Linked DNA regions of Drosophila melanogaster. Changing the gene in region 2 together with the main gene of any one other region gives a genetic interaction. Each region holds a gene or a part of one and is shown on either strand. Other genes may lie near its edges.

The links. Genes that interact genetically often act in the same process or in processes that back each other up.
Region 1: of bam (region 2) and mael, changing one suppresses a phenotype caused by changing the other (phenotypic suppression), as found in Drosophila melanogaster (one study listed by BioGRID).
Region 3: of bam (region 2) and trbl, changing one suppresses a phenotype caused by changing the other (phenotypic suppression), as found in Drosophila melanogaster (one study listed by BioGRID).

The regions. Positions count from the first base shown.
Region 1 is NT_037436.4:22,722,238-22,726,751, forward strand, and holds mael (maelstrom), read left to right. Parts: upstream 1-1,995; 5' UTR 1,996-2,328; coding exon 2,329-2,448; intron 2,449-2,493; coding exon 2,494-2,692; intron 2,693-2,748; coding exon 2,749-3,305; intron 3,306-3,367; coding exon 3,368-3,880; 3' UTR 3,881-3,997; downstream 3,998-4,514. Other genes in the region: CG14450 (uncharacterized protein), read right to left, coding at 4,307-4,514. UniProt on the Drosophila melanogaster protein: Involved both in the piRNA and miRNA metabolic processes. As a component of the meiotic nuage, plays a central role during oogenesis by repressing transposable elements and preventing their mobilization, which is essential for the germline integrity.
Region 2 is NT_033777.3:25,242,512-25,246,839, forward strand, and holds bam (bag of marbles), read right to left. Parts: upstream 2,599-4,328; 5' UTR 2,466-2,598; coding exon 1,978-2,465; intron 1,914-1,977; coding exon 1,543-1,913; intron 1,482-1,542; coding exon 1,012-1,481; 3' UTR 528-1,011; downstream 1-527. Other genes in the region: CG11854 (uncharacterized protein), read left to right, coding at 1-136, 199-503; RpS27 (ribosomal protein S27), read right to left, coding at 3,842-3,870, 3,937-4,156. UniProt on the Drosophila melanogaster protein: Regulatory component of a deubiquitinase complex consisting of bam and otu. The complex deubiquitinates K63-linked polyubiquitinated proteins, antagonizing the ubiquitination activity of Traf6 and regulating the IMD immune signaling pathway.
Region 3 is NT_037436.4:20,395,771-20,403,604, forward strand, and holds trbl (tribbles), read right to left. Parts: upstream 5,840-7,834; 5' UTR 5,486-5,839; coding exon 4,656-5,485; intron 1,706-4,655; coding exon 1,081-1,705; 3' UTR 518-1,080; downstream 1-517. UniProt on the Drosophila melanogaster protein: Adapter protein that negatively regulates different signaling pathways to coordinate cell differentiation, proliferation, migration and growth.

The sequences.
Region 1 (4,514 bases), on a different chromosome or scaffold from region 2:
CGTAGGACCAAATACATTAGAATAAAAAGATGCGTGACGGCCATACATTGACCATACAAACGAGAAATTGTATATGTGTGCGTACTTGTGCTAGAAGACGATTTTCGGCCCGAAATAAATTTTCATTCAAGAAAATTTACATACATATTCTACATATTTGGAGTTTTTGGCAATTTTTTTGCAAAATTTCAACAGGGCACTGTGAGCAATACTTTTTAAAGCATTAACATTAATTTCATCAATATTTCAACTTATAAATAAAGTTGCTATCTAGAACTATAATTATTAGTTTTGTAATTTAAAACATAAATTTAACAAAATGAGAAAATACATATTTAAAAATATATTTTGTAAAAATAATACAAACATACATAGTTAAAAGTTAATATTTATAAAATAAATAAAAATATGCGACCTTTCTATTGTAAAATGTGCACAGATGCACTTGTCGGTTGTCACTGGATGCGTAAAAACAGCTGATGGCTGTAGAGTTCTCCGCCCTCTTGCTCCTAAACAAAAATTAAGAGCAGAATACTTTATATCCACCTTCTACTTCCTGAATTCTAGACATTTCTTACTGAGAGACAGGCGGCCCAAGAGATCTTAATCTTAATTGCTTGTACCTTTTGAAAGAATCTAGTATAACTTTTACTGGACGAATTCTAGACTATTAAAAATGTGATGATATATCAACACATTTATTAAAAGTGCGATCGTGACAGTTTTATGCGGCTTGTGAGCGCTAGAGTGGGCTTGGCAAAATGGGTTAACAAACTTGCGCTGCATCTTTGTCTCTAAAATCTGTATGCTTAATCTTAACCTTCTACCTTTAATAGTTCCTGAGATCTCGGCGTTCATACGGACAGAAGGACACAGCCAGATCGACTCGGCTATTGATGCTGATCATGAATATATACATATAGTGACGTATTCGGGTGGTCCAAACCGGCCACTTCAATTAAAACAGTATTGCACTTAATTGATTTTCCATAATGTATCCCAGCTGCGCAGCATCCGTTTCTAATAAAGAATTCTTTGGCAGCGGCACTCAGCCGTTCTTGTAAACATCCTAAAACCTGACATAAGCCGATTTGACTGCTCTCTTTGAACCTTCTCCTTATCTTAAGAACCCAAGAGCGAGGCTCTCCCGAGATACAAATATTGTTCAAATAATGAGGGTTCTCTCAATTCAATTTGCATTTGATTTTTACTCTTAAAAAAACTAAAACGTTAAAACTATTTCTCCGATCATTTTTTATTTCTTAGCGTTGTCCTTAGTCAACTGACGGGGCATTTATTCGACTCAAATAAAAAATATAACAACTAATTTTACTATATATATGTATATATTTTACTGTATATCGGAAACGCTTCCTTCTGTCTTTTACATATGTACATTTCAACGAATCTAGTATACCCTTTTACTCTACGGTTAACGGGTATAATAAGTTCTTTCTAAATGATTATGCTTATCATTTTAACAACAACATTTTAACCAAAAACGGTGTGATGACCAAACCATTTTCATATTCAGCATGAATTTACCGATTCAGACAAATCGTTCATACATACAAACAATATTATTACTTTACCATTAAACAAACCATTTCCAAGAAAGAATTTTTCATAGACCTAAAGCACATCGACTTTGTGGGTGGATATACATACATATGTACAATTTTTCGACTCAACTGTTTACACTGTAGTTTTACGAAAGAGAATTTCGATTTAAAAAATTTTTAGTTTTCGATGGTCGACCATTTGATTTATAAATAAGCAGTATTATCTTTAATTAGGCTGCTTTTAACTGCAAGTGCAGTTTATTCATACGATTACAAAGCATGACGATAGATGATTATGCTATTAGGTTTGATTAAACCATTTTTATGAAATATAAATTATTATATTATAAATATAAATTAATTATAAATTTACAAACTCTTATTCCATTCCAGAATCGATAGTTCTGGAATGATACTAGTGCTCAGCAACGCCAAAACAGTCAATAATAGATATTTGAAGTGTCAGCGGAATCGACGTCTGACAAAACAACTGCTTCACTTCATTAGAATTGTGTGATATATTCCACAGACCAGATCATTGGAAGAGAAGTCAATCGTGCGTGAGAGAAGCCAGAAGAGAAGCCACCCGCGACATTCCGAAGTAACCATTTCTGTAGGGTCAGACGTACATACAAACAACATTCATATAAATTGCTCGTGCTGTTCATTGGTTACCGCCTTTAGTCGCTACCTCGCTCGCACACGCGCTCAACACCTACCCTTACCCGTCAAAAATACCGACCTTCTTCTTGCCACGCCCGTAAAGATGGCTCCTAAGAAGCATAGTGGGTTTATGATGTTCGTAAACGAGTGGAGAAACCGGAACGCCGAGGGCCGACGCATGACGCTGGCGCAGGCTGTTTCCCACTGCGGCACCATATGGGAGGTAAGTTTTGGTCGATGCTGCGGATCTACCCTGTAATAAATGAAGCCTTTTCAGAAAATGAACACCCAGCAGCGTGGTCCGTACAACTCAGGCGGCAAGGACGCAAATGTGGCGCAACGCGCCAAAAGGGAAAGTTCCAACGGCCACGGCCAGGTGGACAAGGCCCAAAGGGAGGCCACCGAGAGCTTGATGGACATGAAACGTACCATCGAGCGCCTCGTGCTAAACGCCAAGATGTCCCATGGTAAGTCACACATTTCGAAGACATTTGGATTCGACTAACTCCAATCGCTGCCGCAGATCTGGAGAATGCCAAGTTTGTCTTCGTTGCCTTCAACTACTTCACTAAAGCCTTGACCACCGACGTCTATGTGCCCGCCGAGTTTGCGGCATGCGAATATTCGTTGAAGGAGGGAATCCGATCCATCTACAGCACCATGATTGACCCCGGTCAGATCATTTTTGGGCAAGGTAGCGATGCCCTGCTTCACTCTTCAACCACTCACGACCTGCCGCTGCCGCCCAACGCGCTGGGGGAGAAGAACATGACCAAGCTGTACCGCAACATTGTTGACTACTTATCCAAATGCCAGGGAAAAGGCAAGACCCTAGTAGTCTTTACACCCGCCGAAAATATTACCATGGTGAAGTCATGCTTCCGCTATTTGGAGTGCGATGATGACTTCAGGGACGGGGGCGAAAAAATCCAGGTGTTTGATATCCAGTACTTGCTATTCATATTGAAGAAGGAGGTCATGAATGTCGCTGATTTGAATGACGAGAAAATCAACAAATTCGCGACGGATGCTTTTTTTAAGAAAGACTTTTTCGAGTTTACCGCAGGGATTGCGTGTCAGGTAAGATTCTGTTCCCAATTCTGATAACCCCTAGTTGACTTCCTTCCTGATTACTTTTGCAGTACCACGAGGATAATGATCGAACCAAGTACTGTACCCAGAGTATGGTGACTAGATGGGCGTATACCTTCACTGATTTTATGTGCGGAGACCTGGCCATAACCGTCCAACCCGGAAAGCACATACCTGCCCAAACAAAACCCAACTACCTTATCATAAGCTCGTACGCCTCCTCACTCGACCACGAGTCCTCCTTCGACTCTTTTTATTCGCTTCCCGGATCTGGGGTCAAGAAGGAAAGCCAACCCGAAGCTTGTTCGCTTTCTAGCAGTCGACTTTCCGTCGCATCAAGCTCCTACAAGCCCATAGACCACACTTCCTTTGCCGCAAATTTAAACGAAGTTTCTGAATTCCCCAGCCTCGGCATGCGTAATTCTAGTAAGCATCACGGTATCGCCGCTAGTGCTCAGCGGGAATGGAACGCTAGGAACTTACCGACGCACTCGCGTTTAATTCGGAAGGTTTCAGACAACGACTTCTCCGTAAACGGCGCTGATGGGAAACTTAAAAAATAAGCCACTTTGGTCTATCAATTGGACTAAGAAACAATGATTCCTTATAGATAATTTTCTTATCGCATTAAACTGTACAAATACTATTACTTGTATTTAAAAATAAATTCGTTCAAACGGACAGGGCCAGCATCAAGTATTTATTTATTTTAGTTCTGCTAAATAAATATTTTTAAGACCTAATATGTGGGCAGTAATGAAAGAAAGACATGATATTTTTGATGGCGACAAATTCTAATTAGCTAAGTGGGGCCAAGCTCAAAATAATCTATGTTTATGGTATTCCATGGAAATGCAGTTGTGCCATTAGAAACTGCTCCTATTAAAACCCCTGTTAAATATTGTGCATAAAATTGTTCAACGGGTCATTATAATACAAAGTGCAAAGGCCAAAAAGAGTCGAGTTCATATTCTTACACTTGTAGCTTTTTAAGTGGCTCGACTTGGAGAGGAGTTTTTAGAGTTGCGAGATACAGATGCAATGCTTTGCGGATCTTGCTGAAGCACGAGACGAGTAAAGGCTAAGCTGAGGAGAAGTGCCTGGCCTAGAAGCTCGCGCTGGTAGCGCTCTTGTTGTGAGAATTCGAGGCGTAGGTCAGCGGGAAAGTCGATCTGTTTGTGCAGCTTCAACGGGGGC
Region 2 (4,328 bases):
TTCACAAGGGATCTCAGCCGCTCCATCGAGCTGGTCATGGAAGTTCCAGAAATAGGAGTCAGAGGACCCTACTCGGTGGACGGAAGAATACTCATTCTGCCCATCACCGGAAATGGCATTGCTGACATACGCCTCAGTAAGATTTGCCTCCCACAGCTTTGAAATCTAAAATTTTTAATGTGTTTCTGGAATTCGCAGCTAGAACAAAGGTACGTGCACAGATCAAATTGAAGCGCGTCTCCAAGGGCGATCATCAAACCTACGCCGAGGTGATGAACATAAAGGTTGAGCTGGATCCATCCCATGTGACCTACCAGCTGGAAAATCTGTTCAACGGCCAGAAAGATCTCAGCGAGAACATGCACGCGCTTATCAATGAGAACTGGAAGGACATCTTCAATGAACTGAAACCGGGCATTGGCGAGGCCTTCGGACTGATAGCCAAGTCGGTGGTGGACAGGATCTTTGGCAAACTGCCGCTCGAACAGCTCTTTGTAGTCTAAGACCTTAGTACAAACACCCTAATTAGTCCAAACACAAATCGTAAATATTTATTTGACTTTCAAAATACAAATGCAAAGCAAATAAGAAAAACTGGTAAGTTCCTCATACAAATAAAACGTAGTTGCAAAATAAATTCAGGCACTAAAGGATTTCTTATTTCTAAAGTTTAAGTAAAATACAGATTTATAAAAGTGAAAAGCAAACACATTTGTAGTTTTGCCAAATAAATGTAAACACAGTTAAACTTATATAAATTTGTTATCAATCTCAAAACAGGGGTAATAAATCGTTTTCATTTTGATTTTGTTTGTATCGATTTGATAAATATTTTTAAAAAGCTTATATAAGCTTATTCACGAATACAAATATGGAGTCCGCACTATTGGACAAATATATCTTACACTATAGATATGTTTACTTTACGAAATTATTGCTTCCCATGAGAAGAGTAGCTTTTTTAAATTGCATATTTGCTGTCATTCTTTTATCGATGTGCACAGCATTAGTTTAGCTTCTGAAGCGAGGTACACGTCCGGTGTGACGAGGTGGCGATGATGGCACTTCCTCGGTCTCCTCAAACTCCTCCTCCGACGCTGACGGCTGCTCCATGCTCACTGCGCCAAGCTTCTGTGGCCCGCAAATGGCGACAACACTGGGCGGGAAATAGGTCTCTGGATTGGCGATCAGAGCGGAGAGGAACTCATGCTGCTCCAGAACGCAATAGATCGGACCTCCCAGTTTGTATCTCTGGGCGATGAACAGATCCTCCGCACTGATTCCACGCGCTTCGGCCGCCCTTAGCTCGGCACCGGACAAAAGGATGGCCCGCTCGTTCAACGACTTGTGGCTTTCGGTCATGGCCCCGGAGTAGCGGTGCTCCAGATCCATTTCCCAGTTAAATACGTGCACACTGAGATGCGCAGCCTTGATCCAATCGCGCAGACCAATTAGCAATCTCTCCATGCGCTGAGTATGGACTGTAAATAATAAAATCGTTGCAGGAATAGCTGAATGGTTGCTTGCAAATCTACAGCTTACACTTGTCCGCATTGCTCCCCGAGTTTCCGTTTCGATTGCGCATTTTGGGCTTTAAAAGCAGTTTGAAGTTGTCCAAATAGGATGCGAAACCCTTAAGCAACTTGTCACACTCGTCGTATTTCTCGAAATCGAAGTGGCGATTCGCCTCCAAGGTGCGGCGCTGCTGGACAAGGAAGCGCTCTACTTTGGTGCACAGCACCTGCAGTTGGTAGCGCACATTCAAGCTCTTAGGCATCGTGCTCTTCACCGGCATATCGAACAGATAGTCCGAGGGCATTGAGTTTTGGCGCGAGAAGCCCAAATCGGCGGTCAGGTGATCATGCAGGGATCTGAACAGATTCATCAAACGCAGCACGGCGTTGTGCTCTAAGCTATTGTTTAGATAAGGAGCTTTTTATTATGTGATATATTTGGGATATACTCCAGAAGACTCACCAATCGCCGTGCAGACCAATCATATGCAGTTTCTCAATAGTTATGGGCAGTTTCTCAATATTATCCGCGGACGCAGAGCCTTTACTCTTCCGGTTCCACACATTTTCCTTCTGCAGTTGCTTCTGCTTTGGCCCGGTGACCAACACGCCTCCGGATCGCGACTTCTTGGCCGGAGAACCGTCGAATGCAAAATGGCGCGAGCGCTTTTGAATCTGTTGCAAGCAATCCAAACCGTGGAATTCGAGGAGTGGTGCAGTAACGTCACACAACCGGAGTCTACCGAAGTTCTCCTGGATTTCGGATAAAACGCCCGATGTGCAGGTTGCACCATCTTCGTTCGTATCCTCGTACTCACAAGTGGCTTTCCTCGGATCTTCGTTTTCATTGCCTTCCACCATTAAGGCCAAATGCTCCTCCATCTGCTTAAAATTGTGGTCCAACTGCTGGTCGTCGTTGCCCTCAGGACACACGTCACGTGCATTAAGCATTATTCTTAAGTTAAATCACACAAATCACTCGATTTTTGCCTTTTAAATCTTTCCTTATCGCCAGGTTCTTTTTACCGTTTGAAATGCCTGACGCCACGCTGTCTGCGAATTCAGGAGAAAGAGGAAGAATGATGGCGTCCAGACTCTTTGTTGTTAACGTATCGATATCATGTCGAGTCCCAGAACAGGGTTGCCGTCGCACAAATAAGTTTCAATTTATGGTCACCTCAAAAGGTCATTGACCCGGGCGCATTTAAAGAAATTTGAAATGCGATTCAATAATCCATTACGAACTTTACATTTTAACTACAATTATACACACTGATTTGGTCGATCACAACCAAATCAAATTGCTGATTAATTATAAAACAACATGCAACAATTTAGGCCACCTATATTTTAATTATCTAGTGGTTTTGTATAAAGCAAGCCAAAGCATTATTTAACAATTTGGGATTTATCACATTTTGTATAAATTATCATATATCGTGACAATAATAATGAAGTAGCAATAACCCATTTTCATATTCAATTTGTTTTTGTAATTCTGACGACGATAAGCTTCTAAAATTGCGCGCAAATTTAGAATAATGTATGGCATCCCCACTTCCTAACATCTGGCAGCTCCGTTAATATGACAAGCTTAGCTTAGACACAAACCAGTATACATTTTACATTTGTTGGTTCGAATACTGACTAGTTAAACAACGTGACTATTTTCATTTTTTTAATTATAAATATTTAAATAAATAAATAAATTCCGCTTCCCAACTTCTATAAAACTATACACATTTGATTCAATTTTTTCCAGACTGACGCAGCAAAATTTTGGCGCTCATCCAAATAAAAATAAGACAAACAAGCTAAGTATATGCGATCCGAATAACCAACCATTCTAAAGATTTTTTGAGTCGGTTACAAAATTCTTGAAAAAATGCTGAATGCCCAATCATTAGAAGCCTCACAAAATCTCGATTTAGAGCCTATGAAACATTCTTTATTGTTGTGAAGTTAATCAATGGTTAGATCTAAGCATAACTAGTGAAAAATTCCTGAAGTTTTGCCGCACAAGGGTATTTGCACACACAAGAGCTTCCATTATGGGCGGTTTCTTATCGGGGAACCCCAGCGATTGAGCTCCACTATCTATCCTGTTGGCAATTATCCACTTTCTATAAACAAATACGACAAGAACTGTTTTTTTTTTCACTTAGCCGACCACAACATCGTTAATTCTTTAATTCACAAAGCACAATGAACCAAAGGACCGCAGCAATTGAATTACAAGCTTTCTCTCGTATGGGTTCTGTGGTTTCTTTACGTTTTAGAGTTTTTATTAAAAAATTAATAATTTGTGGTTCATCGCGAGTCCCATTTTACTGTGGCTTCCTGCGGAAGGAGCAGCCTGAAAGAAAGACATCGTTTGGGTTAATTGCGAAGGAACATTGGACAGTGAGCATTTGGAGCATACCTTCTGTCAGCTTGGCGCGTCCTCCAGTCGGCTGGCACAAAATGGTAGCGCATCCAGCGCAGACCACGACGCCTTGGGCGTGGCTGAAGACGGTGGTGATCCTGTAGCAGCCGGGGCACTTCACGTCCATGAAGTACGAGTTGGGGTGCTGGACCAGGCGCTTCAGCTTGTGCTTGCGCTTCTCCTCGGCGGGCAGAGGGTGCAGAAGATCTTTTGCTAGCTGCAAGGTGAAAATAGTTTCAAAATTAGTATAAATTCATTTAATGTATATATTATACTATATGATTACGGCCAAATGTGTTGGATTACTTCAAGCCTAGATAATCCTCTAAATCTTAGTTATAAGTCGAAATTTCTTTGGCGCCAAACGTGTTGGTCCAACTTTGATCCAA
Region 3 (7,834 bases), on a different chromosome or scaffold from region 2:
GTTTACTGCTATTGTGGAGCAAAGTCGCAAATATTTCCGTAGCCAAAGTCACGTTCGCCCACCTGATAACTTCCAGTCACTGGGTTGCATTATCAGGTTGGGAATCTGCTGCTCGGTAATGGGAATCTCAGCAACAACAATAACTAATTTGTTGACTTTCGACACTCGAGAGAATTCTCGATTTTGTGACGTGAACTATTCATTAATCTCCTTCATGAAGAAAATAGATTGGACAGTTTTGTTTTCATATTTTTGACCAAACATTATCTGATCTTAATCAAATGTTGAATTTTACTAGTACACAATATGACGCATCTAGAACCAAAAAATCGTATTTTCCCCTGACTCATTGTTTTCATCTTTTGTAGCCTTCCGCTTCTTGAGAATCTAGAATCTTCATGTTAAGCTCATAGTCTGGTTGACTAATTACACATTTATAAATATTTACAATCTTGTGTCAATAAATAAAAACAGCGTTTTTTACCCCAGAGCCCTAAAGAAACAAATTCGAATTATTCTTGGTGAGATCAAATTTCAATGTATTATGTTCTTTTTTGCAATTTTCACTTACAAGATTTTAAGAGTACACAAAGCGTAATACAGAAGTATTAAATAATAAATAACAATTTGCATTCGTTGCATTTTTTAACATGGAAACTAATGTGTTTTAAAGCCCAAAAGCAAATCAGGGCGACTGTCCTTTGATAAGATCAACAGTTTGCAAAAAAATTAAAATGTTAAATGTATTGTACATAGGTAGGTTTTAGGAAGAATCGGTTGCAGAGAGGAGGCTGCGGAGCGGCGTGATTCTTGAACGAATCGAATCGGGGCTGCAGCGCGATTGGAAGGCAGTGAGTTCTTGTGTGTCTAAGCTTTAAGTCTTTGTTGGCAGTACCACCTGCAGGAAGACGACGTGGAACGCAGTCGGAGTCGGCGCGACCCGGAAGGCCAGGATGTCCACAGTGTCATATCATCCGATATGCCCAGTCCCGGCGGCTAATCAGTCGGCATTCAGCCGGATGCAGCCAACGCGCCAGCGTGTCCCAGAATGCAACCCGTGGGTGACTCCACGAGCTCCAATCAGCCCATGTCCACATCCGTATCGGGTTCGGGTTCCGTGGACAGCCCATTGGCATTCTGAGCCATTTGGAGCGTGGAGCGCGTGTAGTCCAATGGCTCCACGCCAATGTCCTCGTACTCGTGCTTGTCACCCAAGGGACAGAGTCCTTCCTCGTCATCATCCATCGCATCGGCGGCAGTGCCTTCGTCCTCCTCCGCATCGCTCCAGTCCTCGGCCACCTCCACGTCGACTGGCAGGTACATGTGGAAGGGGCGCTGCTCTCGCAGCCACGGGGTAAGGAAGATGTGGCTGGCGGTCATTCGTTCCGTGTAATCCTTCCGCAGCAGCGAAAGCAACAGCCATCGCACCGACTTAGACAGCGTCAGGGGTATCTGGACATTCCCGTGGCGTATGACGGTGATGAGGTTGCAGTTGGCCTTCTCGTAGAACGGGTACTGACCCACCAACATGGTGTACAGGATCACGCCCAGCGACCACATGTCCGCCGGTTTGCCCTTGTACGTTTGCTGGGGGCACAGCAGTTCTGGAGCGGTGTACAGTGGGCAACCGATCTTGTCGCTCAGAGTATCGTCCTCGCCGTCGAGGATCATTGAGCCTTCCAGTGATTCATACTGCAGTTTCGTTCTGTAATTAGCAAATGACAAAATCGAATAAATAATCCGCCAAAATAGGGTACAAAATATATGTTTATGCTTCTTAGAAATAAAACTAACAGTCTTTTTTTTACCCGTTTCTATTAATATGTTGAGAACTATTGTTGCCAAAGAAGAGTAGATATGACTGCAACTTGAGTTGGCACTGCCACTATTCTGATCGCAACTGTACCCGTTCATCAGACCCATCGTCGAGCTCTACATCATGTGCAATCCCTGGGACTTGCATAACCCCCGATTTTGTGGGGCCATTAGCTAGCGCAATATCGAAGAGACTTGAATCGATCGGCCACGGAGCTTCAGTTTCAGTTGTAGTTGTCTTTGGCGTTGGCGTATTGACAAGTCAAAAGGCAAATTGGCCGAGAGAGCACATTGTGAGCTGAGCTGAGTTGACTTGGATTGGTGACGAAAGCGCAGCTTGCGACCCCCGACACCCATGAGCGAGTGCCGCCGCCGCCGCCGCCTCCGCCCCTGCACTCCACTCCACTCCCCCTCCATTGGGCCACTCCACTCCATTGACATTGGCCCACATTCGAATGCAAAAAGCAAAAAAGTAACGAAAACGCCAGCGAGCACAGCGCATAGATCCAAAGAGAGTCCGCTGTGTGAGCTGCGTGAGTAGTAAGGTGAGGTGGAGTGACGTATCGCAACTTGTTGCTGCAACGGCGCTTCTGCTGGGACCCGAGCACCACTACCAACATTGGGTATTCCGCCGATAGCGAACGGAGCGATATACAAACACACGGTCGCCGCGGTCTGGTATCCAAACATCCAAAGAGCCAAACACAAAGCAGGCCAAAAAAACCTCGAGCTGACCCTGAACAAAAACAAGCTTTGAAAACGCGCCTCTCCTCGGCACAAATCACAGTGTACACTGAAAGAAACAAATTACCTTCAACTTGATAGCAACAGGTGGGCAATCAATAAGAGGGAAAAGAGATAGCGCATTTAAATAATATATTCAAAGAACACGGTTCTTAATTAAGAGCATGTTTCTATACATTTGTTTTCGGGTTTCATTTGATTTTTGTGTCCTCTATCGTCTAGTTACCCCATTCGATACAGAAACATTATAAACTTATATTTAAGATCAAGGCAAGCATATATAATTATACTTTTAAGATCAAGGTTTTATGTGAACCAATATTTATATTTTTGAGTGCACGGAAGGCAGGTGGAGATGTGATGAGGAGAATAGTTACAGCTGCTGACCTCGATGCGCGACATAACCGAGCTTTGAAGAGCGTCTTGTGGATCTCTTCTTTCCCTCTCTCTCTCTCTCTCGCTCTATACGTTTGGCACACATTAACCCGCGACAGAGGTTAAAATAAAATCGGAATCGAAACGAAATACGGAAAACCGGCGCCGCATAAATGCTCAAACACCTTGGAAGTATTTACGTACGGCAAAAGAGTAGACAAAATAAAAGTATGAACCAGAGATTTTTACATGCATAAGCATACGCATTTGTATATGGGAGGCACTGGCATATATGCATGTACATAAATGCGTTCAAATACAGAAGATCAGAGTCAGGGACATTCACCGCACTGTGACCTTAAAAATTCGGCTCGTTATTTGGTTGTGCGTGTGTGTGGCCGCCCCGTTGGACATATGTAGATATGGATATGGCCACGCCCATAGCCCATATAGTATGTATGTACACCCAGCGAGCACTTATCTATATAGCGATGTATTATTCGAATGGAAATGGGAATGGAAGTGAGCGCCAGTAATCGCAGCGCATTTGAGTCGTATTGAACACTTGTTGTTTATTTCTCGCCAAGGTGAGAGAAGTATAGTATAGATAGAGATCTATGGGTTGGTTTCTTCCTTCCGCCGTTTTGCACTTGGCACAGAACGACGAAATGACGAAAAAATCAGCAGATATTGCGCTAATTGCAGAGTCATACGAAATCGACCAAATGTTCAAGTCGTTCCATGCTGATGTCAGTACAATTTCGAAGATAATAAGAACGGGAGACAGCGCGTTTTCGATACAGTTGTGTTAATTAACATATGCGAAAATACATTTTCGATGAAGGTGGGGTCAATATTTCATCATCCACTGTAAACTCACACACGGGAAATCGACAAATCAAGCGAACGCCGAGTACGTGGCCCACAGATCCCCACCCCAAAACCATATTGCAAATGCTATGTTGAACAATTCTTGAAATGTGGCAATTTCTAGCTTCCGAAATGTGTAATGAAAAAACGAGTGAGCCAACATTTTGGCCATCAGTGTGGCACATTGGGCCCTTGTGTACGAGTATGTACACAGAGATACAGTCGGGGTCTGCAAAATAAGGCATATGCTTGCTCACTGAATGGCAATTCAATGATATTACATAAATAATAATTCTTTAGCTACAAAGCTAATACACCATGTTAATTAATAGTTTAATAATAGGTGTATTTCAAAAACTTATCTTTGAAATTATTTAACATTTTTGATCTTATTCCCATTCATTTTTGCAATGCTTCGCATAGTAGGAATATATTTTTACTTATAAAATTAGTTTGAAACTACCATTATACCCTGTGCTGTACATACGTACGCCTTGCGTTCATTCGGTTTGTCAGTATAATTGTTGTTGTTGGCCTATTGGTGATTCGATTGCAACACTTGTTAAATGTTCAATGTTACCCACAACGACGGCGCCAGCAACAAAAACAAAAGCAACAACAGCAGCAGCAGCAGCAACTACAACAACATGGGCCAATAACAAGAGCAACAATTGTGGCACCACCAACACACGACCACAAACAAGATCTCTCGCTCATAACGAGTTTCCATCGAATTGCAAAATAAACCGACTAGCCAGCCATATGCAATTGAGTTGGTATAAGTCAGGCATATGTGGCGTATATTGGTGTATATGGGTTTTTCGAAGGTGTCACCTGGACACGCAACTCACCTGGCCTCGTCGATGAAGTAGAACCGCTTGAGCTTGAGGTCCCTGAGGATAATCCCGTTGCGGTGGCACACCTGAACAGTCTGACAGATCTGGTGGAATATGGCCCTCGCCTCCGTCTCGCACAGTCGCTTCGCGTGGCGGATGTAGGTGTGCAGGTTCTCGTACACCCCGGTCACCCCACCCGTGGAGTCCCTCTCCTGGGGCACGGGCGCAATGAGGATGTAGGTGCGATCCTTGGTAAGCGGTATGATATCGTGCACGGGTCGGATCAGTGGATGGCCATAGATGGTGCTCCGGCGTAGCTCCTCGTCGTGCTGCTGCAGCTGAAAGTAGGCTCGTTGCACCTTATGCAACGGTTCGTTTACAATACGGCAGAGGAACTGCTCCCCGGTGAAGATGTCCACGCAGCGCAGATTGGAGGCGGTTAGATCGACCAAGTGGCGATACGAGGCGGGAGTCTTGGCAGCCACGGCGGCCGATATGTGACTAGGCTGTGCGCTGATCAGATAACGCTGTTGGATGAGCTTGACGGGCTGCTGGTCTGTGGGTTCCGCTGCGATGCCCAGGGCCAGAAGGTCACAGGCTCCGCCGGGCGTCATTAGCTTCTCCCTGATGGTCTGCAGCATCTTGGCATTGGGGAACTCCTTTTTGGGCGTAAATAATCCCAGTACGGTGTCCTCCTGGCTGCTACTCATGCCGCTGCTGCTGGATGATGAGGATGAGGAGGTGGCGGCTGCGACTCCTGGCGAGACTGGTGACGAATAGTTGACTATTTTGCTTGTGGACGCTGACGAAGCCGTTCTGCTGTTTTGACCGCTACTGTTATCCATGCTTGCTTGTGTTTACCACTTCACTTAACTTTATCACAGTTCTTGCTCTCGCTACGTTTTCTTCGTCTTATTCTCTGCTAATGCTTCTTCTTACTAATTTTGTTACTCCGCTTTAGCCTGGCTGTACTTGGCTGTTAATTGTTTTGACATTTAGCGACGCGCCGTTTAGTCTCCGATTAAATTCGATTTAAACTCTCGTTTAAACTCAGGGCTACTACTACTTCGGTAGTTTGGCCATTTGCAATGCGGGTACTGACGAAATGCGGCGATTTTAAAACAAATCGGACGCTGCTCACTGAACTCGCGAAACGAAACGAACGCGACCGTCTTCTCCGCAGTTTGAATTTCAAATGTGACCATCCACGCGGTCGGAAGAAGCACGAAGCGAAGAGAACGGCGAAATACAACGGCTCTCTTTCGCACCCTCTTGCTCGCTCTCACTGCACCGATCCTTCTCTGCCTCGCTCACACCCGTTGCAGGAATTTAGCTCAATGCGGTCGGAATGGAAAGAGAAGTGGGAGACCAGAGAGCGTCGTTATTTTTTGAAATCCAAATGGTTGGGAGAGAGAGAAAGAACAAGAGCATCGTTATTTTTGAAAAAATTGCGCTGAACGCTGAAATTCCGATTCCAACTGAATTCGAAATACGTAGCTGTATGAACACTATACCCACAGCAACCCTTAAACTTTTCTTCTACGATTTTACGTAGTAATCTGCGCACCAATAAATCGTGGCGATAAGTTAATTAGAGGGGGTTAGTAAACTGATAAAATCCACAGTTTTAAGATCAAATTAATGAAAGTACAGTCAGCTTGAACTTCGATTTTGTTTTATTGAGTACGGGTACGGATATCGAAGGCAGAAACACCCGTATAACCATCTCTATAACTCGAAAATATCTTTTGTGGTTTCTTGGCTTGGATACTTAAGGTTTTCTCCTGCTCTGATAAGGTAATATTTTACAAGTTTGGTTGAAATTATTTGTTTTCCCATAGTTACGAAATTTTTAAACCAAATTCAATGATGATGTGCAGTTTTTGAGTAGTTGCTTTGCAAACTACTATTATTATAAAAAAACATAAAACATAAAACATTTTAATATCCTAATATACATACAAATTTAAAATTAAGAAATTTGTCTTCTTAATACTCCAGATTAAGATCTCTTATATCCCTAAGTATATGACCACAGATGGACATTTCAGATGTACAAACATAGTTCTAGTAAATCCTAGAATTTAAATAAATGCTCCCAAACTCGAATCTTCAAATAACGCTTCAATCTCTTGGATCCAAATCGATCATTGAATTTTTTCCTGTGCGAGATCATTACTCATTTGTGTGTGTGTATGTGGATTTACCTTGCTGTTTACCTCGCGGTGCAGACGATTTCATGATTTTTGCAGCTGTCCGAAACGAGGATCACTGGGCTACGCAGGAATTACGACAGCAACAGAAGGCAGTTATCCGAGATCCTCAAGGAGCAGGTAAGAACCACCGAGCGGCATTATGTCGCAGGTAGATTCCTACATACATATGTCAGCTGCACTATTCCACCCCTAAGCACTATATGGCAGATATAGTGCATCGGTGCAGGGCTGTACATGCGATGCAGTTGCAGTTGCAGCTGGCGCAAGGTGATTTCCCACTAAAGACATCCGTCTGAGGATACACAGGAGCACATTCGCGGTCACAATAATAGGAACTATCGCAATCGAATCTTTAGTAATTGGAAATGAGGGTCTTTAAATATAATTTTTAAGACCGAATTGTTGGACTAAAAGACCTGAAAAATGTATTTTTAAAATCGTTGATAGAATTGGTACAATTGTAGGTTAGATATAACTCATTTAGTTTTGAATTTTTTCATTCTGGGATACTGGGATTTTGAATACTAATATTTTCACCGCAACTGTTTATGCAGGCTTGTATTTCGTCCATTGGTTTTCACCGATCTCTTCGATTGAATTCTTCATATTGTAACGCTCTTTTTGAAACGCAACGTCCGTCTTTGCTTCTTCTTCCCACGAAGTAGCCGATAAATACGAATGCGAAAATCGCGAACAGAACAAATAACACCAACAAACCTCTCTTTTCGCCCGTCCCTTTTCCAAAGTCTTGCATCTGTTTCTCGAAAGGAAGATTGAAACGAGAATTATACTGGTACCGTGACACCAATGCAACCGAAAAGGGGGGAAATTATAGGGGTGGCGACATCAAATTGAATTTGAAAAATATTTTATTTGCATACGACATACTTATTTGCAAGCAATTAATGTTTCACTCTGGTCACTGCACTCACTTATACGATTAAATAGGCCTGATCATTTTGATATGAAAAGTGTATG